4 linked regions of the Schizosaccharomyces pombe genome follow. The protein of the gene in region 1 interacts with the protein of each later gene in a pairwise test. Each region holds a gene or a part of one and is shown in the gene's direction. Other genes may lie near its edges. The genes, in order: hsp16, tcb2, pek1 and tef3.

Evidence for each region.
Region 2: the proteins of hsp16 (region 1) and tcb2 interact in a two-hybrid assay, tested with the Schizosaccharomyces pombe proteins (one study listed by BioGRID).
Region 3: the proteins of hsp16 (region 1) and pek1 interact in a two-hybrid assay, tested with the Schizosaccharomyces pombe proteins (2 studies listed by BioGRID).
Region 4: the proteins of hsp16 (region 1) and tef3 interact in a two-hybrid assay, tested with the Schizosaccharomyces pombe proteins (one study listed by BioGRID).

Annotation. Positions count from the first base shown.
Region 1 is NC_003423.3:2,659,437-2,662,893, reverse strand, and holds hsp16 (heat shock protein Hsp16), read left to right. Parts: upstream 1-1,901; 5' UTR 1,902-1,972; coding exon 1,973-2,404; 3' UTR 2,405-2,755; downstream 2,756-3,457. Other genes in the region: ric8 (synembryn ric8-like protein), read left to right, coding at 1-56, 135-197, 244-406; SPOM_SPBC3E7.17 (uncharacterized protein), read right to left, coding at 916-1,098.
Region 2 is NC_003421.2:530,890-538,093, forward strand, and holds tcb2 (tricalbin, C2 domain protein (phospholipid binding) ER-plasma membrane tethering protein Tcb2), read left to right. Parts: upstream 1-1,767; 5' UTR 1,768-2,432; coding exon 2,433-5,999; 3' UTR 6,000-6,313; downstream 6,314-7,204. Other genes in the region: translation elongation factor 2 eft202, read left to right, coding at 6,437-7,204. UniProt on the Schizosaccharomyces pombe protein: Has a role in meiosis.
Region 3 is NC_003423.3:4,310,502-4,315,010, forward strand, and holds pek1 (MAP kinase kinase Pek1), read left to right. Parts: upstream 1-1,941; 5' UTR 1,942-2,261; coding exon 2,262-3,353; 3' UTR 3,354-3,639; downstream 3,640-4,509. Other genes in the region: ATP-dependent RNA helicase Dbp8, read right to left, coding at 1-845, 935-1,058, 1,126-1,255; fit1 (CoA pyrophosphatase (FIT) family lipid storage protein), read left to right, coding at 3,987-4,509. UniProt on the Schizosaccharomyces pombe protein: Involved in the mkh1 signal transduction pathway that plays a role in cell wall integrity. Activates spm1/pmk1 via phosphorylation.
Region 4 is NC_003421.2:1,683,319-1,689,539, forward strand, and holds tef3 (translation elongation factor eEF3), read left to right. Parts: upstream 1-2,326; 5' UTR 2,327-2,347; coding exon 2,348-5,491; 3' UTR 5,492-5,633; downstream 5,634-6,221.

The DNA of each region.
Region 1 (3,457 bases):
TTAAGCCAAGAAGAGAAAGAGCGAGAAGCAGAAAGATTATTCTATTTGTTTCAACGGTAAGTTTGTTTGTTTATTTATTTTTTTTTAAAAAAATACATATATATGTCTCGAGTATATTTGGCTGACGTTGGTAGCTTGGAAAAAAATAGTACTATTCAAGTTACTAATCCTATCCAACAAGCTGTAAATAGCGGCTTGTATGAGAAATTGGATGATAATGATTCTGATTAAAAAAAACTAAAGTATAGACGTTGTCTTTTGTCTTATTTTTCAAATGAGTTCGGAGAGTTTCATATATCATTGTTATCATAGTTTTGTTGGACCTATACATATTTTACTGTTAATGTTTTCCACTTTTAAATTTCATGAAATTCTTCATTTTATCAAAATTAGCAAAGCAAGTTAGTACGTCGTGTATTTTACATTGTCTAGTGAGTTGGTAAACTTCATTTGTATACCGTAAATGTCTATATTTTAACCGTCGGATATTGCAATTCGCATTATGCGGTATGTAATATGTAATGAGTTATTAAACGACATTATTTTTAGTAAGATTTTGATCATGTATTATTCGGTAGGTAAAAGACTTAAAAGAAGACGGCAGAATGGAAAGATGGAAGTAATATCATGATATTCGGCAGTCATTAGGCATAATTTGCAGTTTCCCCATCTTTTCTCATAGTTGTTTATTAGTAATTAATAATAAACTTTGTCAACAATTCAGGAAAGGGTTTGTTTATTGAAAAAAGAGCGATAGCTTCCGTCGTAAATTTTTCATTTGCTTTTCGAATGTAGTGGTTGAATCATGTTATAAACCTCAATATTTATTTTCCTTGCTAGAGAGTTAGCTACTTTTTTCTAAACTAAAGATTAAAACGACAGCTGTACGAAATTGACTTTACGATAATATAGATTTCATTGATATGCGCATGAATAGGAAAACTCATGTTGGGTAAATAATGACGTAGGTTTTTTGTTGTGAAAACTCTCCGTCTCCGCAAATCGTAAGCGACGGGATGTACCCCACAATTTTAAGGATCTTCCAATTGAGTCACTTGTGAAATTTATTGCGTAAATCAAACACTCTACCGTGAGCATTACTGCAATGATGGAAAAAACATCTAATATGAGGTGCGACGATACAGTAGAACGTCCGATTCCTTCAAATATATTTATTATTTGAATATTTAAAAAGTTAACAATCGCAGAAATTTGCGTAACTTAACCCAACAATTGTGTAAAGTAAAGGAATTAACTATTCATATTGCTATGCTTTTAACGTAGATATTGCAGAAGAACAATTTTATGACGAACAAGAGGAAGTCGCATAAGTTTTATAGATTTATGAAATGTTTTCAAGTGCATGAGCAACAATTGCGTGAATGCACAAAATACGTCTTTGCCAATAAAGCGCTCAAATCATAAGATTAGAAAGAAAAATTCTTACGTTATGGTTTATTTACAAATCTAAATGCGTCCTAAAAATTTTATTTTGGTTAGTTGACTACAAAGTAAAAAAAAAAATAAGGTAAAGGAAACGATATACAGTCAATGAAATGAGTATTTTTCTAACTCTACTAGAATGATTATTTTCTAGATCTCTCTAGAAAGATAGCACAGCCTTGCGTACCGAAGTTTATATTTGAATCTGCCTCGGTTGTGGCGCATAAGTGGCAAATTTGGACTTTTCTAGAGCAAGCACTAACGAACATCTAAGTCCACCCAATACAGAGTTTGAGTGTTAGCAAAAGACGCCGTTCCGAAAGTACAAACTCCGGCAAATTCGTGATCTTTCACAACGTTTACGAGAAAATTCGAGTCATCGTACAATATATGACATCCATCCCATTCCGTGCTTCCCAGAAAGGTATAAATAAGGGTACTCCTTCCGCTAGTCCAGCATCGAACAAATACAGATTTGAATTGAATTCATATAATTTCAAGTTACTCGCAATTGTTTAAATTTTAAAAAATGTCTTTGCAACCTTTTTTCGGCTTTCCCCCTACTGTCAACGACTTGTTCTCTGACTTTGTTAGTTACTCCCCTCGTTTGAACAACCAAATTCCTGGGGAGTTGTCTCCTTCGATTGATGTGCATGAGGGTAAAGACACTGTTAGCGTTGATGTAGAACTCCCTGGTGTTAAGAAAGAGGACGTTCAAGTCCATTATGATAGCGGAAAACTTACTATTTCTGGCGAAGTCGTCAATGAGAGAAAGAATGAAAGCACCGAGGGTAACCAACGCTGGTCAGAGCGTCGCTTTGGCTCATTCTCTCGTACCATTACTATTCCAGCCAAGATTGATGCAGATCGCATTGAGGCCAACTTCAGTAATGGCCTATTGACTGTCACCTTGCCCAAGGTCGAGAAGTCCCAAACTAAGAAACAAATTGCTATTAAGTAAAATCGTCTCTTCCGATTTTAATATGATAGTTTCGAAATGGTTATGAGACCAATCTTGTTGGATTGTGAGCATATATTATTGTTTGATTTAACAATCAATCATAACATATGCAATTAATGATCCGCTTGCCATTGGATTGATGAATTTTGATAATGAATTGAACACGGTCTTCTAAACAGTAAAAGAGCATTTAAATTCCACATCAAGCAATTTATGGCCAGCTGTCAGACAGTGTTTTAATGATCTTGACTACCACTTGTTACGATTCTCCAATGATGAGCAAGTGATCTCTAGCAATTTTTCAAAATAAATAAATAAATAAATATTTTTTTATTCCTAATTAGAAAACAAGTTGTTTCAAAATGCTCTATCGTAATATGTGTAGATTTATTTTTATTTTTTTCAAAAAAAAAGAACAGTATTATGTAGCTCCTAATGAATTAACAGGAGTTACATTAGCATATCATAAAGTTGTGTATGCTCTTTGAGTCTTAAATCACCGGGGCAATGAAATCGTCTTCCTTTTGCGGAGATCTGATAATATGCTCTTAACAATTTTTGGTTTTATTAGTGAGCCATAAGGTTTGTTTAAGCGGAAGTTTTGTGATTTCATGTTAGGGACAAGGGCTTCATAGATGTGTTCCTTTCTATTTTTATTCTTTATATTACTAGTTCATTGGTTCATGGACACGCTAACCTAAAAGTAGTTAAATCTCCTTGGCCTTGAGCGAGTGTTTCCATACTACCACTAATCCTTGGGTGATCCAATGTTTCCTATAAAAAAAAGTACACATAAATATATAGCCTAGGGTACCTTTCTTTTTCAGTAATCAACATACAGTTTAAAGTTAAGAATGTTATGGTTTTCGTGTGTGATTAAACCAAATTCTTGTTTGCTATAATATCTAGCTCTACAGTAAAGCCGAAAGCTCTTGTATTGCTATGGCTTTGTAAAACTTAAATTCGGCGAATCTCGTTAATATACACTATTCTATCAACACCAAAACCTAAAGTATTTATTATCAAACAGCTGCGTTTAACGTACATGCTTTT
Region 2 (7,204 bases), on another chromosome or scaffold:
AGCAGAGCTTTCAACAGAAAATGTTGAGCCTTTTTTTTTACAATACTCTAATTGTTTAAGGGTAATTTACTTCTTTATTTTGGATAGGTTTTTATGTCACTGAAAATGTTTGATAGCCCCAAGTCTTTGGAAACAGTCAGTAGGATGTTCAAGAAAACGGAGGTTCCGACTTTACAGATTTTAATACGTGAAATTAATTTTTTTTGTTTAATTTCTCTTTTCTCTGGCAAAATTGTAAGCACAAGATAAGGGACTATTCAGTTGGACTCTCAGCTCATTTGTTTACATTCAGAAGATATATAACGCATCAGTGTCGCTGTTTTATGTCTCGCAAATATCAAGTTAAGATAGCACGTCCAACCACGCTACATATTAAACGATGTATTGCAAATGCATTATACTGAAAGAAATAATAGGAAACGAAAACAGTAGTCCGATCATCCATTGATTATGAAAAAACAGCTTATTTAAAATGCATTGTACTTTATTAGTTAAAGACTAAGGAACATGAATTTTTGGCAGTTTAATAACTAGTAGTATATCCATCATATCGATTACGCGGTAGCTAATGAAATTTTTTTTAGATTCTTTAATTATAGGAAAATATAACAGGTACATTTTTTCCTATCCTATTACGAGCATAGAACAAAAGAAGAAGATAATGTTTTTAAACGTTTTATTTACATTTCTACAATTGAGTTTCGGTAGTTTTCAAGCATGTGCAAATAACGAGCTGCATAATTATGCTTTTGCAAGGTACGATACAATATACCTGAAAGTTGTTTGTTTACATAGCAGTGTTTCCTTTTTACCTTTACTTTCCACCAAGACCTATGAATAGAAAATTGTTAAGTTTTGGTTCATATAGAAGATCCGTAAAATGTTTGAAATAATTTAATTATAAAATACTTTATTCTTGTGCTGAAAACATGAAGAAAGGAAGGCTAGTACGCGACTCAAGCCTGTTTTCTCATTGTTTTGTTATTGGAGGATTAATTTGTTTTCCTTAAGAAAAGTTGTTTATCAAATTTCTCTTTTCTTTAAAAGATTGACGAATTATTCCAATCAATTGTTTGTTAAGCGGGTTGCATATTCCTCAAGTTGCTAAAAGCTTTACGTCTTTGGAATGTTTGTTGTACAGTTTTCCTCTAAAGAAATGTCTTTTCCCGCTCATTAGGATAAAATTCTGCATCAATGATTTTGTTTGGTTGTTTTATTTACTACCTTGCATCTATGTGCTTATAAACATCTAAAATTTGAAATTTGAAATGTTTCAAATTTACATTTTTAAAGCTTGATAAAATGCCCACAAGATAATACAAAAATACGATTTTATGAAGGAAAACATGGAAGAAATTCATCATGAATAGAGTTCTTTTAACAATCGCGGAAAAAAATTACTTGTCTTAAATTTTTAACGAAATAGTTGAGTTGATGACATTTCCTTTTCTTCACTGCGTCTTATTTTGACATTTCTTTTACGACTTTTGCTTTCTTCAATTGTTTCCAGTTTCCTTTGCTTCTTTTACTTTCGTGATTAACGCTCTACTATGAACCACGGTGCCCACCGCTATAATAAATGCTGGGGGAGATGAGCTTACCTTGTTTATTACTACGGATGCTGTCCACTACACAATCGTTTCTTACGTCAAATACAATCTTATAGGCGAAATACACGATGGTGATGACTTTCTTACGCAATAAGATATATGGTTACGTTTGCATAAGTGCAAGGGTGAATTGAGAAATTCAGGTGTTTTTATGCCTACGCTGTTCGCATATCTAAATTTGTGTTTCTTTCATCGACAAACGAAGTCCAAATCGACTTTTAAAATATTTGACTTGCTTGTCCTGTAACTGTGAAAACGACTATATTATATATTGGTTTATAAACAGACAGACATCGTCAATACCCCGTTTCCAATTTTACTTGTTTATCGTTCATATTCTTTGAAAAACGTAACATCCATCGTCTTATCCCCGATACATCCTCTGTTTATTTATTTATTTCAATTTAATATTGCCTATCTCCTTCGTGAAAAACTCGCCGATTCATTTTTACAGTCAGTGTTTTGTTACTGCTGATAGAGCTTGATACATTTCTTGAGAAGGTGCTTTTAAAAAGAGAAAGAAAAGAACAAAAAAAAATCTGGGCTTTATAGGAAGACGTTAATAAGAAAAGTCCTTATATACACAAAAACCAAAACCTCCGTTAAAACCGAAATCAAAAGCAAAATTCAAAGAAATAAATTATTTTCTTCTTTAAATCAATTTTGCATTGGTGTTTGCCTTATTGTTGCTTCGTATATAAATTGCCAAAAAAATTAGTTCTTTGAAAGTTGAACCCTTCTTTGTTTTTATATAGTCTATTTGTGTACTAACCATCCGTTTCTTTTTTTTTTTGAAATTTCCTATACTTTTTCGCTCCCAATATGTCTACTCATAGCGGAGATTCCACCAAGCAACAACACTATCGCTCTTCTGACCCCTATTCAGGACGTCGTCCGATCCCCACTATTCCAAAATTCTTTCGCGATCGCAAACAGCGTGCAGAGAAAAAGGAAGAGCAACAACGGGAACAGACTGAAAACGAAAAATTATTCGACCCAATTACCCAGCGAGATGTAGAGATTAACGACGTTCATTTCGATTATGCCAAAACATATGATGATCCTAGTTTTACAGTTCCTAATCAATCAATCCAAGGTTCATCCTTACCTTCTGAAAAGCCTTATTTGTCATCCAACCAACCAACAAATGTTTATAAGCAGCATCAAGATGATTTAGCTCCACCAGAAGCGGATAATCAAATCACTCGTGATGTCCCTATTAGCGATGAAAAAACGAATATTCTCTTTTTCCCCTCCCCTTCCATTGATCTATCTTATGTATCGAAAGAGGTCAAACAAAAAACTGGTCAATATTCTTTGTTTGCATATATATTTTCTCTCGTAATTTCGTGGTTCTTTACTCATTCTATTATCATTTCAGCCGTGTTGCCTCTGGCCATTTCTTCATGTATGTATTTATGGATGCAAAATATATATGCTGTTGCCAAGGATGCGGAATGGGGCGCTGAACAAAAACGCGGAGAATACGCTCGTTTGAATTTGATTCCCGAAAGCGCCGAGTGGATGAATCATTTATTGGAAAAAGTTTGGCCCTTAATCAATCCTGAAATGTTTTCTTCTGTAGCTGACCAAATTGAAGATGTAATGCAAGCCTCTATACCGTCGTTTGTTGAAAATGTGCGCGTTGCTTCTTTGGACCAAGGAAGTCATCCCGTTCGTGTTGTTTCCATTCGAAGTTTGCCTTCAGGTGAGGCCAGTGAATCGTTTAGTGAGAAGCAAGCCTCTGAAGCTGAACACAAAGACGAGCCAGAACAGCAGCGAAAACAATTTTATAACTTCGAACTTTGTCTAGCTTATCACGCCAAACCCGTTGAGGATGCAACATCAACCAGTGCTCGAGCTTCCAACCTGCATTTACGCATAGTTTTTTATCCAGGTATTAAAGGTACAGTGGGATTTCCCCTTCCAATATGGGTCGAGATAAAAGGATTTGTTGCTAGAATCCGCTTTCGCTGTGAACTCATGCCTGAGGTTCCTTTTTTGAAAAATGTCACCTTCTCTTTGATGGGACTTCCCGAACTGAATGTGTCCGCTGTTCCCGTAGCTGAGGGAGGTGTTAACATATTTGGACTTCCATTAATTTCAAAATTCGTTAATGACGCTATTTCCGCGGCTGCAAATGAATACGTTAGTCCCAAAAGTATGACTATTGATTTGTCCAAGACGCTTTTAGGAGATGATATAAAGAAAGAGGTCAATGCATTGGGCGTTATTTTTGTTCATATTAATCGTGCAGAAGATTTAAGTAAGCAGGATGTGAATGGTCTTTCTGATGCTTATATAACCGTCGGTTTTCATAAGTTTGGTAAACCTTTGTACTGTACACGCGTCGTAAAACAGGATCTGAATCCTATCTGGAATGAATATGCTTTTATTCCTGTGTTCCCTGATCAAGTTAAAGCCGGTGAGAAGATTTCTATTGAATTATGGGATAGTGACAGGTTTAGTCCCGATGATGTAGTAGGCCGCACGAAAATCGGTTTACACCTTCTTATTCAAGATTCTGGAAAAATGCATGAAAGATGCGACACGCTTACTGGAATTAGTGAAGATACTAGTCTACCTGGCAGGGTGTTTTACGAAATTGGGTACTTCCCTAGAGCCGAATTTAAACCTTCTTTAAAAACGAGTGGACATGATATCACTATTCCAAGGTCTATGAGAGATGATCCAGCTTTTCAAAATCCACATGGCTCATTGGATAATAAAGAAGAGGAAGCTGCTGTCACGACTGCTCCTGATGAAGAGTATCCTAGTGGCATTTTATCTTTTACCGTGCATCAAGCTGTGAATTTGCAAATGAACCATCCAACTGGTACTTTTGGAAACGTGAGTGGAAACTATAACACAAGTCCGGCTCAGAGCGTAGGAGATGTAACAGCTGAAGAAGGTTCAGAGCTACCTTCTTCCTATGTTTGTGTTGATTTAGATGACACACTCGTGTATAAAACACGAACCAAGGTATTTACATCAAACCCTATTTACAACGCTGGAAGCGAAAAATTTGTTAAGGATTGGAGAAATGCAATGTTGTGCTTCACCGTACGTGATTTCAAATTGCGTGAACATGATTCCATTCTTGGAGTCGTTAACATTCCACTCGCTACGACGTTAACAACTTCTTCCCAACTGACAAAATGGTATCCCATACAAGGTGGTATCGGATTTGGGAGTGTTCGCATTTCCATTCTTTTTAGGAGTATGAAATTGAAAATTCCCAGAAATTTGTTGGGTTGGGATATTGGTACTCTGGAATTCATGGATCGACAAATTGTTGCTGAAGGAACAGGAAGTGTATCTGATGTTTCATTCTCTTCAATTAGAGTTAACATAGCAGGCGTAAAAATTACTGCTAAAAGTAGTACTTCCAATTCTTCCAGCACTGCTGAATACCATGTTCGGAGTAGACATGCTGTAATTCCAGTTAACAATCGTTACAGATCAGCTGTTGTGTTCGAGTTCAGAAAACAACTTCAGAGGAAACATAATGTATTTGCCATGGTTTGGTTGGTTGATCTGGAAGACAATGTAGAGCAAAACATTCGGGTCCCGATTTTTACTTCGTCCAAACCAGCACATGTTTTACAAAACATGATAGATTTTGATCACCCGGATAAAGAGTCAGAATTTAAAATCATTGGATATTTGAGTACTAGGATATGTTTTCATCGAGGTTTGGACGATTCCCACGAGCAACTTGTTGACAACGACGATGAAGCAGCTATATTTGAGACATATAGATGCCTTAAGTCAATGGGTTTAAGAAGAGGTTACGTGAAAGACATGAAGAATCCGTTAGCGGATCAACGAGCAAGCCTGGATGAAAGCCGAGAGACTACCACTGCATCTTCTAAATTTGAGTCAGATGATTCTGTTGATACCGAGGACGAGGAGACGACCACGGATCGGACACCAATTGAGTGTACACAAACAGTTTCAATGGTGGATCCAAATGTCAATGGAGATATCCAGGGTAGAAACTCTCTAGGTACGATGAATAGTAATGAACGTAACCTTGAGCAAGAATTTATTTCTCTTGGTTATGCCTCAAAAAACCGACCGAAAGCACACGCTCAAGAAGGTACTAATCAACCCGGCGCTTCTGAGAACGTTGAACCTGTATTAGCAGATGATAGCGATGCTGTTACAATACATAGCAATATTTCCAGTGATGATCAAAAAAGGAAATTGGTGAATGCTGATGATCGTGAATTGGAGAAGCGATTACATCGTGGACCTTACAACTCAAAAATTGTGCGCACAGGAGAATGGGTAAAAGATGGAGCGAAGATGGGATGGAGAAATCTTCGAAGAAAATTTGCTTTGAACGGACGACAGCCAGATGTTGAAACCGAGATTTCAAAATAAACACAACTGTGCTTCTTTTTAGCAACGTAAATGAATTATTGATGGCTAACGATGGATGAAACGACTTTTTGCTACAAAAGTATGGAAGAACATTCTTGACCGTGTGTTCGAGATTTAAATACGTGTGTTTGATTATTTATGGTCTGTTCATGATAAAAGTACTAGCAACACCTAAACTGATGTAGGAAACCAAACTGATGATTACATGATATTATTTATATTTATACTGCAAAAAATTTATCGGTTGGCTTACTAAATTATTACTTCAACTTTCTTAATACACGTATTGAGTATGTAAAGTTATTGTTGACGAAAAAACCAGTCCCTGAAGTAGCTAAAGTAGGGTAGGGTTAAGGAGACCAGAAAGCACACATAAAAATTTTAGGCTTTGATTTATAACTAGAACCAACCACGCACAAAAAAGTACTATTGCAAGTATGGTCGCGTTCACACCTGAGGAGGTCCGTAATTTGATGGGCAAACCATCCAATGTCCGTAACATGTCTGTGATTGCTCACGTCGATCACGGCAAGTCTACGTTGACTGATTCTTTGGTTCAAAAGGCCGGTATTATTTCTGCTGCCAAGGCTGGTGATGCTCGTTTCATGGATACTCGTGCTGACGAACAAGAGCGTGGTGTTACCATCAAGTCTACTGCCATTTCCTTGTTTGCTGAAATGACTGACGATGATATGAAGGATATGAAGGAGCCTGCTGATGGTACTGACTTCTTGGTTAACTTGATTGACTCTCCCGGTCACGTTGACTTTTCTTCTGAGGTTACTGCCGCTCTTCGTGTCACTGACGGTGCTTTGGTCGTTGTTGATACCATTGAGGGTGTCTGTGTCCAAACCGAGACTGTGCTCCGTCAAGCTTTGGGTGAACGTATTAGACCAGTTGTTGTTGTTAACAAAGTTGACCGTGCTTTGCTCGAACTTCAAATTTCTCAAGAAGAGCTTTATCAAAATTTTGCTCGTGTCGTTGAGTCTGTTAACGTCGTTATTTCTACTTATTACGACAAGGTCCTTGGCGACTGCCAAGTTTTCCCTGACAAGGGTACTGTAGCTTTTGCTTCCGGTCTTCACGGTTGGGCTTTCACTGTCCGTCAATTTGCCAACCGTTATGCTAAGAAGTTTGGTATTGACCGTAACAAGATGATGCAACGTCTTTGGGGTGAAAACTACTTCAACCCTAAGACCAAGAAA
Region 3 (4,509 bases), 1.7 Mb from region 1:
CATCTCTCTCCGTTACAATGGAAATGGACTCGCCACTGCGTCCAGCACGAGCTGTACGACCTACTCGGTGAATATAGTCGTCTGGGTCACGAGGAAGGTCGAAGTTAATTACTAGTTGCACAGAAGGAATATCCAAACCTCTGCTTGCAACGTCAGTGGCTACCAAAATTTTTGCAGCTTCCGCACGAAACCGTCCAAGTGAATTGATCCTTTCACGTTGTACCATTTCTGAATGAAGTTCGGTGACACGAAGCTCGAGCAATCGAAGAATAGAATATATCAATTCAGCAGTGCGAGTCCGATTTACAAAGATAATTGCAGACTTTTTAGCGTTCTCAGGAATCGTTAACAAATGCACCAAATAAGCTTCTCGTACTTGTGAGGAAACAAATATGTAACTTTGCTGCAAAGTAGAAGGTACGGAAATGTTATCAGTTTCAACTTCGTATAACCAAAGGGGAGGCTTATTATTTTTCTGTGGCTGATATTTGAGCTGACGAATAGCATCAGTAACAGTTGCAGTAAACAAAAGCGTTTGACGATCTTCAGAGGCTGGAAGAACAGAAAAGCAATCATCCAAGTCATCAGCAAAGGTAGGAGACAACAAACGGTCGGCTTCGTCCATTACCAAAAATTTTATTCGACGTAGTCCGGCTATCGTTTCTTCACCATTACTTCTAATCAAGTCAGCTAGGCGACCAGGAGTAGCTACAACAACATGGGGCCGTTTCGATAAATCAATAGATTGTCGTATCATATCCATGCCTCCAACGATGAGCGCATGCTTTAAATTAAGATTAGCACCTAAAGCAGCAAATTGTTCATCAATCTGTATTGCAAGTTCTCTGTTCGAGTTAGCTAATTGTAGTAGAATAGTTAACATTTATACTAATTTAAATTTTAAGAAAAAGTACAATAATGTTATATTTTATACCTGGTTGGTGTCAAAATAAGAGCAAATATTCCTGATGGATCCTTAGACCATTTTTCAATAATAGGCAAAGCAAAAGCAGCAGTTTTACCAGAACCTGTTTTAGCACCTCCAATACAATTACGTCCTATAAATTTTTATTTGTTAGGCACATTTTACACTTAATTTTACTTTATTAATTTTTGTAAGCATACCTTCTAAAATCTGAGCAATTACTCCTTCCTGAATATCTGTAGGTTCATATATTGCAAGTGCTTTTAGCGTATCGATAAGCCATGGCGATATTCCTAAATCAGAGAATGATTTTCTTGTATGTTCTGACATGTTTTCTCCCCGATGTAAGGGTTTTATTTAAATTAAATATAATGGTTACTGTACTGTCAAACCAAACTATTGGGATTCAACTTGTTGCCCTTACTGCAAAATTAACACGCTACGCTACATTACGCTGCTTTAGACATTATTGCTGATGCGACATTTTTCAATGACTTTTAGGTCAACATACACAGATAAAATCTTCATATGGTTAACATAAAGTTTTTATTGTTCTCTAAAATAAGTACAGATAGAACTCAAACTAATTTCTTCAGTTTGCTTGTAAGTTATTTAGTGCTTTTTCGGTAAACCAACGTGCAAAACACAATATTTGAACTTTACGTAGTTAATCGTGTTCTTATAATAGTTAACGGATTGTATGTAGTTATTATAAGCCATAGAAAATCATGCAATGATAAATATATTCTTTTATGTTTTCCTTGAACAAAATTAATTATAATTTTAGAGGTAGACATTTATAGTAAATAAAAGAAGAAAGCTCACAGGATATGATAGTCTCATAATTACATTAACTTATACTCGTAATGAACAATTCCCGAAGTCGTTTTAACAAAGGTCTCACTAATTCTAAAATAACGTATCTACATAGCTAAGTCCATAAGTTATTTAGTGAAGTCCTAATTTAGAAATGTAGGTTATACTAATAATGGTCAATCGTATTTAGTATAGCTTCCGAAAACTATACGATTTCTTCTAATAGAGGCCTCGGTTGTTTGTTTGCGAGGAATTAACTCTTCCATCAAAGTTTCCGTTTATAGTGCTATCCTCTAATTTTCTAATTCAGGAAGCAAAAACTTCAAAAAAGTTTATAATTGGTAGGTTTATTTAGCGGGAAGACCATACGTTAGAATTTACTTTCCTTGCGTTTTTGGAAAAGAAGAATAAAAATTGAAGTTTGTTAAAAATACAAACAAACTTTTGGACTTGGTATCAGTCATCTCTTGTCACTCTTTCTACAAATTGAAAAAATATCGAAGAAAGCGCCCATGCCTCTATGTCCAAAAAACCTGTCTTGAACTTAGATACCAGTAATGGGTTCTCTGAAGAATATATAAGTCATCCTGAACGTAATGACAATCAAGGAATTGTCGAGATTACAGACCTGGTGTTTTCTAGCGAGTCGAAATTAACTCAGCGAAAGGAGAGCCGGGATAGTAAAACATTTGTTCCTTCCTTTCTGGAAGAACTTGATGATGATCACCTACATGAATTGGTTACAAATGGAGGTATTTTGTACATGAACAGTCTAGGTGAAGGTGTTAGTGGCTCTGTAAGGAAATGCAGAATTCGTGGGACTCAGATGATTTTCGCTATGAAAACTGTATTAGCTGCTCCGAATACCGCTTTACAAAAGCAACTCCTTCGAGAGTTAAAAATCAACAGAAGTTGTACCTCTCCTTACATCGTTAAATATTATGGCGCTTGCTACAATAACGCAGAGTGTCAGTTAAACATAGCTATGGAATATTGCGGAGCAGGATCTCTCGACGCGATATACAAACGCGTACGCAGTCAAGGTGGACGCACTGGAGAACGACCATTGGGCAAGATTGCATTCGGTGTCCTTAGCGGTTTAAGCTATTTACATGACAGGAAAATAATACACCGTGATATTAAGCCATCAAATATCCTTCTGACGTCAAAAGGTCAAGTGAAGTTATGCGATTTTGGTGTATCTGGAGAATTGGTTAACTCTCTCGCTGGCACATTCACTGGAACTTCGTATTACATGGCGCCTGAACGAATTTCTGGGGGATCTTATACTATATCGTCAGATATATGGTCTTTGGGTTTAACATTGATGGAGGTCGCATTAAACCGGTTTCCATTCCCTCCCGAGGGTAGCCCCCCACCAATGCCTATTGAATTGCTCTCGTATATAATAAATATGCCACCTCCCCTTTTACCTCAAGAACCCGGTATTAAATGGTCGAAATCCTTTCAACATTTTCTATGCGTGTGTCTGGATAAAGACAAAACTCGTCGTCCTGGACCCCAAAAAATGCTTACCCATCCTTGGGTTAAAGCGTTTGAGAGAATTCATGTGGACATGGAAGAGTTCCTTCGTCAAGTCTGGTCTGATTAGAAGAAATAGTGTCATATGTTAGCACTGTAAGTTGATAAATTCTGTTTGAAAATTCTTATGCTAAATTTCTTTACATTGGAGAATGCATAATCTGATTAATGGCAAAATATTATGAGTCTAACTGTCTTCCAGTTCGCTTGTTGTATGAAATAAATAGGAAAGTCATAATAATATATACTTTTTATTAATTGCTAACGGTTTTTCTAATTTTCTTTATACAAATACCTCCTTTATAGTAATTTTATGGGTTTAACATTTTTAACAGAAATAATTTTGGCTTGATTATGCATACTCAAATCGTAGCGAGAAATGATAGATTTACGCCTTGCTAGCTTTTTAACAAAAATAGGCAAAATAGGCGTTATATGGCAACTTAAAAAACGAAAGAATTCGTATATTTAATTATCCACAATTAAGGACTATTTCTTTTCGTTCTCTTATAACGTGAGGCAATGATTCGTTTTTTTTCTAGTCTACGCACGTAAGTTGGTGGTGTAACTACACCAAACTTCCCAGGGTATACATGTCCTTAACTCTTTCAATGAATTAATTGCTTTTCACTACACCGTTCTATCTTTATTTTTAAGTTTAATTTGTATACGTTGTCTGCCTAATAAAAATTATTTAAAAAAAATGACTGAAAAAACTGCTAGTCATTATTGGAATGAAGAAACCTCTATATTGAAGCTTCGTCGCAAAGATATACTTCTGTTTGAAATATATGCCACTACACTTCTTCTAGGTAGCATTTATAGCATTTATGTTGACAAATGGTCGATTACCTCTTACTTTGGAAACTCGAAAAATTTGATTAATTTGATTTTTGTAAAAAGAGGCTGGTTCTGGACTTCTTTAGTATATTTTTATCATGCTTGGGATCAAAAGAGAAACAAAATTGACTTCAAGTTTATTTCAAGGTATATAGTGGCCACTCTATGGTGGATGTTTGTAACCCAATGGTTTATAGGACCTGGCCTGATTGATAGAACCTTTGCATTATCTGGCGGAAGTTGCAAAAACTTTGATGGTGATTCATCTGTGTTCATTCCACTTACCGCCTCCACTTGCAAGGGATTAAACGGATCTTGGTCTGGTGGTCATGATCTCTCGGGCCATGTTTTCTTGTTAACTCACTCGAGCTTGTTTATGTTGTCTG
Region 4 (6,221 bases), on another chromosome or scaffold:
GCATTGACTCTTGTAACAATTTCAAAGGAGCGATTTTTGAATAAGAAATTAATTCTTTCTTAAATTGTTAATTGTTAAAAGAAAGTATGGGATCGAAGATATGCCTATTGATACGCTATGGCATATATGTAGTGGCAGTAGTTCTCAATGGCTGTCTCTACTTGACGCATGTTAGACTAACGATCAACAAAGTAGTAGACTTGTAATTGCGGACTTTACAATTTTAGAAGGTTTAATGTTTGTGTTAGAAGCAGATATTTTCAAAAGAAGTTAATGAAATTAATTATACATTTGCACACACTCGTTTACATTATAAATAGCCATGTTATTTGGCATGCCTATGGCACATACACAAAACAATAGTACATACATTGATGATATGTAAAACGTAACTATGATTTTCATTAGATTAACTCTCCTCAAGTTAAGGTATGTTAACCTCATTTCACACTGTGAATCCTAAGTATATTAATTATTGATGGAATAAACGTTAAAAACACTAAAGTCCGCTACGATTATGCTTGAGTACATAGGTTTTCACGAACAAGCGTAAATTTGCTTTCCTACGTATAGTTGGTATGTAGCCTGAAATTATTTGTTTCAGTCTCTATTTTCACCGTGTTACATGATGCTACATTTCGATGATTTCAATCGCAACGGTAAATTGAACTATGAATATACGAACAAATATACTTTTCATTAAGAGAACATTTTTAATTTGCATAGTGTGTTCGAAACTTGAATTGAGTGAATGCGAAAATAAAGTCCTCTACAACTCATCAACTTGAGATATGTAGAGCAGCTGAAAAAAAATAATAATAAATAAATAAGTATATGTAAATTAATTTATCTAAGTAAATTAAGTTAATACTACTCAGTATTTTTTTTAATACAACAAAGAAAAGCATTCTTTCTATTAAGCGAAGGATTTTTTTTTTTTTTAAATCAATTACAATCATCACTTACTAGAATGAACCAACTAGTTGAAAACTTTCTTTTCTTTTCAATTTTTTTTTTTATTCAAGCTGATCATTGATCTGATATGTTTTCTTCAAACATTAATTCCATGAAATTGTTTAAAAAAATTTGCGAAAAAAAAAGTTGACAGGTATGTAAATATTACTAATATAGATTATTACAAAATAAAAGAGAAACTTGGCATCATCACTCGCTCTACATAATTTTTATTAAGTAAAAATGGTAATACATAAAAACTGCTTCAAACTCGTCAGTTACGTACTCTGCTAAATCGGTTAAGGTGTCAGCAATATTACATACGCTGCGATACACAACGCTGAATATCACTATATGCTACATATTCTAATTATACCATAGATGATACGATATTACGATTGTTCCTAATGAAATTATAATAAGTTCTATACTATCTGAATAATGCAAATGGAAGCACAATTGAAATGAAGAACGAGGATCAGTTATACGCTATATTAGTGATAGGTAAAAATATAACCTGTATAACAGAATAACTATACCCCAGTTGCGACCTTTATGACCCGCGTATTGCAATATGAATGATTATAAATATGTATTAAGATATTTGTAATAATGTAATACATTACTATGAATGCACTTAAATTAACTCGCGAATGAACTCATAAACGGAGTTCATTTGAGTTTACTTATAGAAATTCAATGAAGGATATATCTATATTCACCTTATATAAATGATGCGGGTATATAACGATCCAATATACAATCATTACAGTTCTGACTCTGAAAATATGATGTCCGACAGCAGCTATCTGAATGCGATTATGCCGACCCTATGCTAAATTCATTTAGTGCTACTGCATCATGTTATGCGACCAAAACCATATTATTGCCAGAGGTCATTTAGCCACGGAAAGCTTACAAGCAACATATGTTGAAAAGAAGAGTTACAGCGTCAAAAATCGTTCTTAACAACGCAGTGTGGTATTAGTTTAACGAGACATAAGGACCGCGTCGATTTGTTCATGGCATGCTTTATCTATAGTGATATCTTTAATATAGCCTTACATTTACAATGATATCGTCATACAAAGGACGCCGCCACTAAACACGTTATTTTATTTAGCGACTTCTAATTTTGCCGCTTAATAGTTTTTCCACGTCGCTAACCACTAAACACCGCCAAAGAAACCGTGGATTATGGCCACCACCAAGAAGAAAACCAAAGAAAAAGAACAGTCACATTGTAAATATGAGATTTAAATACATAAAAACATATTATTATTTTATTTTAAGTACTCCTTCTGTATTTTCTTAGTTGCAAAATTTTCATTAAGAAAATCCATTCATATACAACCAGGACCTCCGCTCATCTACCAACAACCATTTCCCCGGGATGTCTGCAAAGAGTGAGAATAAGCAGTCAGTCAAAGCTCTTGAAGAGTTGTTGAAGCACCTTACTGTCTGCGATGCCGCAGAGGAAGCTGATGCTGCCAAGGCTTTGGCTTCTTTTGTCAACGGACCCATCGAAGAGCAAGACGCGCCTTCTCAAGTTTTCTCTGCTATTTCCAAGCAGTTGAACGACAAGAACGCCACTGCTCGTGAGCGTGTCTTGAAGGGTCTTGAGGCCGTTGCCAACCATGGTAGTGTTGCCGCTGATGTCGAGCCTTACTTGGTCGAGTTGTTGCCCGCCGTCATCGCCAAGGTTGCTGACAAGCAAAACGCTGTCAGAGATGCTGCCATTGCTGCTTCTAAGGCTATTGTCCGTTGCACTACCCCTTATGCCGTCAAGGCCATCGTCCCCTCTGTTCTCGAGTCCATCCACACCACTGGTAAGTGGAATGAGAAGATGAACTCTTTGCAACTTTTGGATGTTCTCGTTGAGGTTGCTCCTTCCCAATTATCCTACTCCCTTCCTCAAATTATCCCTGTTGTTTCCGAGTCCATGTGGGATACCAAGGCTGAGGTTAAGAAGCAATCCAAGGAAACCATGACCAAGGTCTGTACTTTGATTGCCAACGCCGATATTGACCGTTTCATTCCTGAGCTTATCAACTGTATTGCTCACCCCGAGGAGGTCCCTGAGACTATTCACTCTTTGGGTGCCACTACTTTCGTTACTGAAGTCCAGGCCCCCACTTTGTCTATCATGGTCCCCTTGTTGGCCCGTGGTTTGAATGAGCGTTCCACTCCCATTAAGCGTAAGACTGCTGTCATTATTGACAACATGTCCAAGCTTGTCGAGGATCCTCAAGTCGTCGCTCCTTTCTTGCCCAAGCTTTTGCCTGGTTTGTACCACATCAAGGACACCATTGGTGACCCTGAATGTCGTTCCGTTGTTCAACGTGCCATCACCACTTTAGAGCGTGTTGGTAACGTTGTTGACGGTAAGATCCCTGAGGTTTCTACCGCCGCCAACCCTGAAGTTTGTCTCGAAACTTTGAAGGCTGTTCTCGGTGAGATCAAGGTCCCCACCAACGAGGAGGTTATTGCTAAGTACGTTGCTAACATTGCTGCCCAACTCGTTGAAGAGAAGGATAACGAAAATGAGTCCTGGGTTCTCAACATCACTCCTTACTTGACTGCCTTCATTGACGAGGCCCACATTCACAAGATCGTTGAGCAACTCCGTACCCGCTCTATCGCCAAGATTCCTGGTGGTGCTTCTCATGCTGAGGAGGAAGAGGAGGGTGAGGATCTTTGCAACTGTGAGTTCTCTCTTGCTTATGGTGCCAAGATTCTTCTTAACCGTACTCGTCTCCGTCTTAAGCGTGGTCGTCGTTATGGTCTTTGCGGTCCTAACGGTTCCGGTAAGTCTACCCTTATGCGTGCCATTGTCAACGGTCAAGTTGAAGGTTTCCCTACTCATCTCCGTACCGTCTACGTTGAGCACGATATCGACGAGTCTGAAGCCGACACTCCTTCCGTCGATTTCATTCTCCAAGATCCCGCTGTCCCCATCAAGGACCGTGATGAAATTGTCAAGGCTTTGAAGGAGAACTCTTTCACCGATGAACTCATTAACATGCCTATCGGTTCCCTTTCTGGTGGTTGGAAGATGAAATTGGCTCTTACCCGTGCTATGTTCAAGAACCCCGATATTCTTTTGCTTGATGAGCCTACCAACCATCTTGACGTTGTCAATGTTGCCTGGTTGGAGAACTTTTTGGTTAACCAAAAGGATGTTTCTTCCATCATTGTCTCTCACGACTCTGGTTTCTTGGACCACGTTGTTCAAGCCATTATCCACTACGAGCGTTTCAAGCTTCGTAAGTATCTTGGTAACATGTCCGAGTTCGTTAAGAAGGTTCCTTCCGCCAAGTCCTACTATGAGTTGGGTGCCTCCGAAATGGAATTCAAATTCCCTGAACCCGGTTTCTTGGAAGGTGTTAAGACCAAGCAACGTGCTATCATCAAGGTCCAACACATGTCTTTCCAATACCCTGGTACCTCAAAGCCTCAATTGAACGACATTTCTTTCCAAGTTTCTCTCTCTTCTCGTATTGCCGTTATTGGTCCCAACGGTGCCGGTAAATCTACCTTGATTAAGGTTCTTACTGGTGAATTGTTGCCCACTGTTGGTGAAATTTACCAACACGAGAACTGCCGTATCGCCTACGTTGCCCAAGCCGCTTTCACTCACTTGGGTCATCACCCTGATAAGACTCCCTCAGAATATATCCAATGGCGTTTCCAATCTGGTGAAGATTTGGAGGCTATGGATAAGGCTTCTCGTGTCATCAGCGAGGCTGATGAGGAGGCTATGAAGAACAAGATCTTCAAGATTGAGGGAACTCAACGTAAGATTTTGGGTATCCACAGCCGTCGTAAGCTCAAGAACTCTTATGAGTATGAGTGCTCTTTCCTCGTCGGTGAGAACATTGGCATGAAGAGTGAGCGCTGGGTTCCTATGATGTCTTCCGACAATGCTTGGTTACCTCGTGGTGAACTTATGGAGACTCACGCTAAGATGGTTGCTGAAGTTGACCGTGCTGAGGCCTTGAAGAGTGGTCAATTCCGTCCCTTGGTCCGTAAGGAGATTGAGGAGCACTGCAGCCTTTTGGGTCTTGATGCTGAGTTGGTTTCTCACTCTCGTATCAAGGGTCTTTCTGGTGGACAAAAGGTCAAGCTTGTCTTGGCTGCTTGTACCTGGTTGCGTCCTCACGTCATCGTTCTTGACGAGCCTACCAACTATCTTGATCGTGACTCTCTTGGTGCTCTTTCCAAGGGTCTTAAGAACTTTGGTGGTGGTGTCGTTTTGGTCACTCACTCCCGTGAGTTCACTGAAGGTTTGACTGAGGAAGTTTGGGCTGTCAACAACGGTCACATGACTCCTTCCGGTCACAACTGGGTTTCCGGTCAAGGTTCTGGTCCTCGTATCCAAGAGAAGGAGGAGGGCGATACTTTTGATGCTTTCGGTAACAAAATTGAAAAGGCTAAGAAGGCCAAGAAGCTCACTGGTGCTGAGCTCCGTAAGAAGAAGAAGGAGCGTATGGCTCGTCGTAAGGCTGGTCTTGAGGTCAGTGACGATGAGCTGTAAGGTGTCTGCTATGAGTCTTTTAATTGTGGAATCTTACGGTCCTTAAGGTTGTTATTATGGTTTGAATTAATTAGATGGTAACTGTACTTTTGATTTAGCTAGGCTAGGAAATTAATAAGCTATTGTTCCAGTATACGACTCTAACATGTGGTAACGTATGAGTTTTTTGAGAGCGAAGTATAAGTCTCAAAAAAGATCATTGTTCAAGTTGACAATTGTTTTATCAATATAGTTTGTCATGTAAAGTGAGTGTATATGAAGACCCATAAGTGTGTACTACATGTATGTTATCAATGTAATTTCTAAAAAGCTGCTGTTAATTTTCAACTTTGGTAAGAATCGATGAAAGGCGTTCGTCGTCCAGAGGAAGACAAATTAACAGTTTAGAATGTATTTATTAATTATCCATTTTGTATATACTTTATAATGTTTTTTTTAATTATATCTTACTTGAATTTTGTTTTTCGTTATTTTTAAATTAATTTTAATTACATTTGGTAATTAATTGTCAATTGAAAATTGCAGCATAGGTATTCTTTGCTAATACTAGAAATTTGGTGAGGAACCCGGATTATTCTTAGAAAATACAAAAAAAATACAAAGAAATGAGATTTAATTAATATTTGCGACAGATTGCTTAACTGTTTTTTATATGGTAAGAGAATAGCGGAAATTTTTGATATTAAGTAGATGAAACTATGCAAATTTAAGATAAATAGCATAAGCGTAT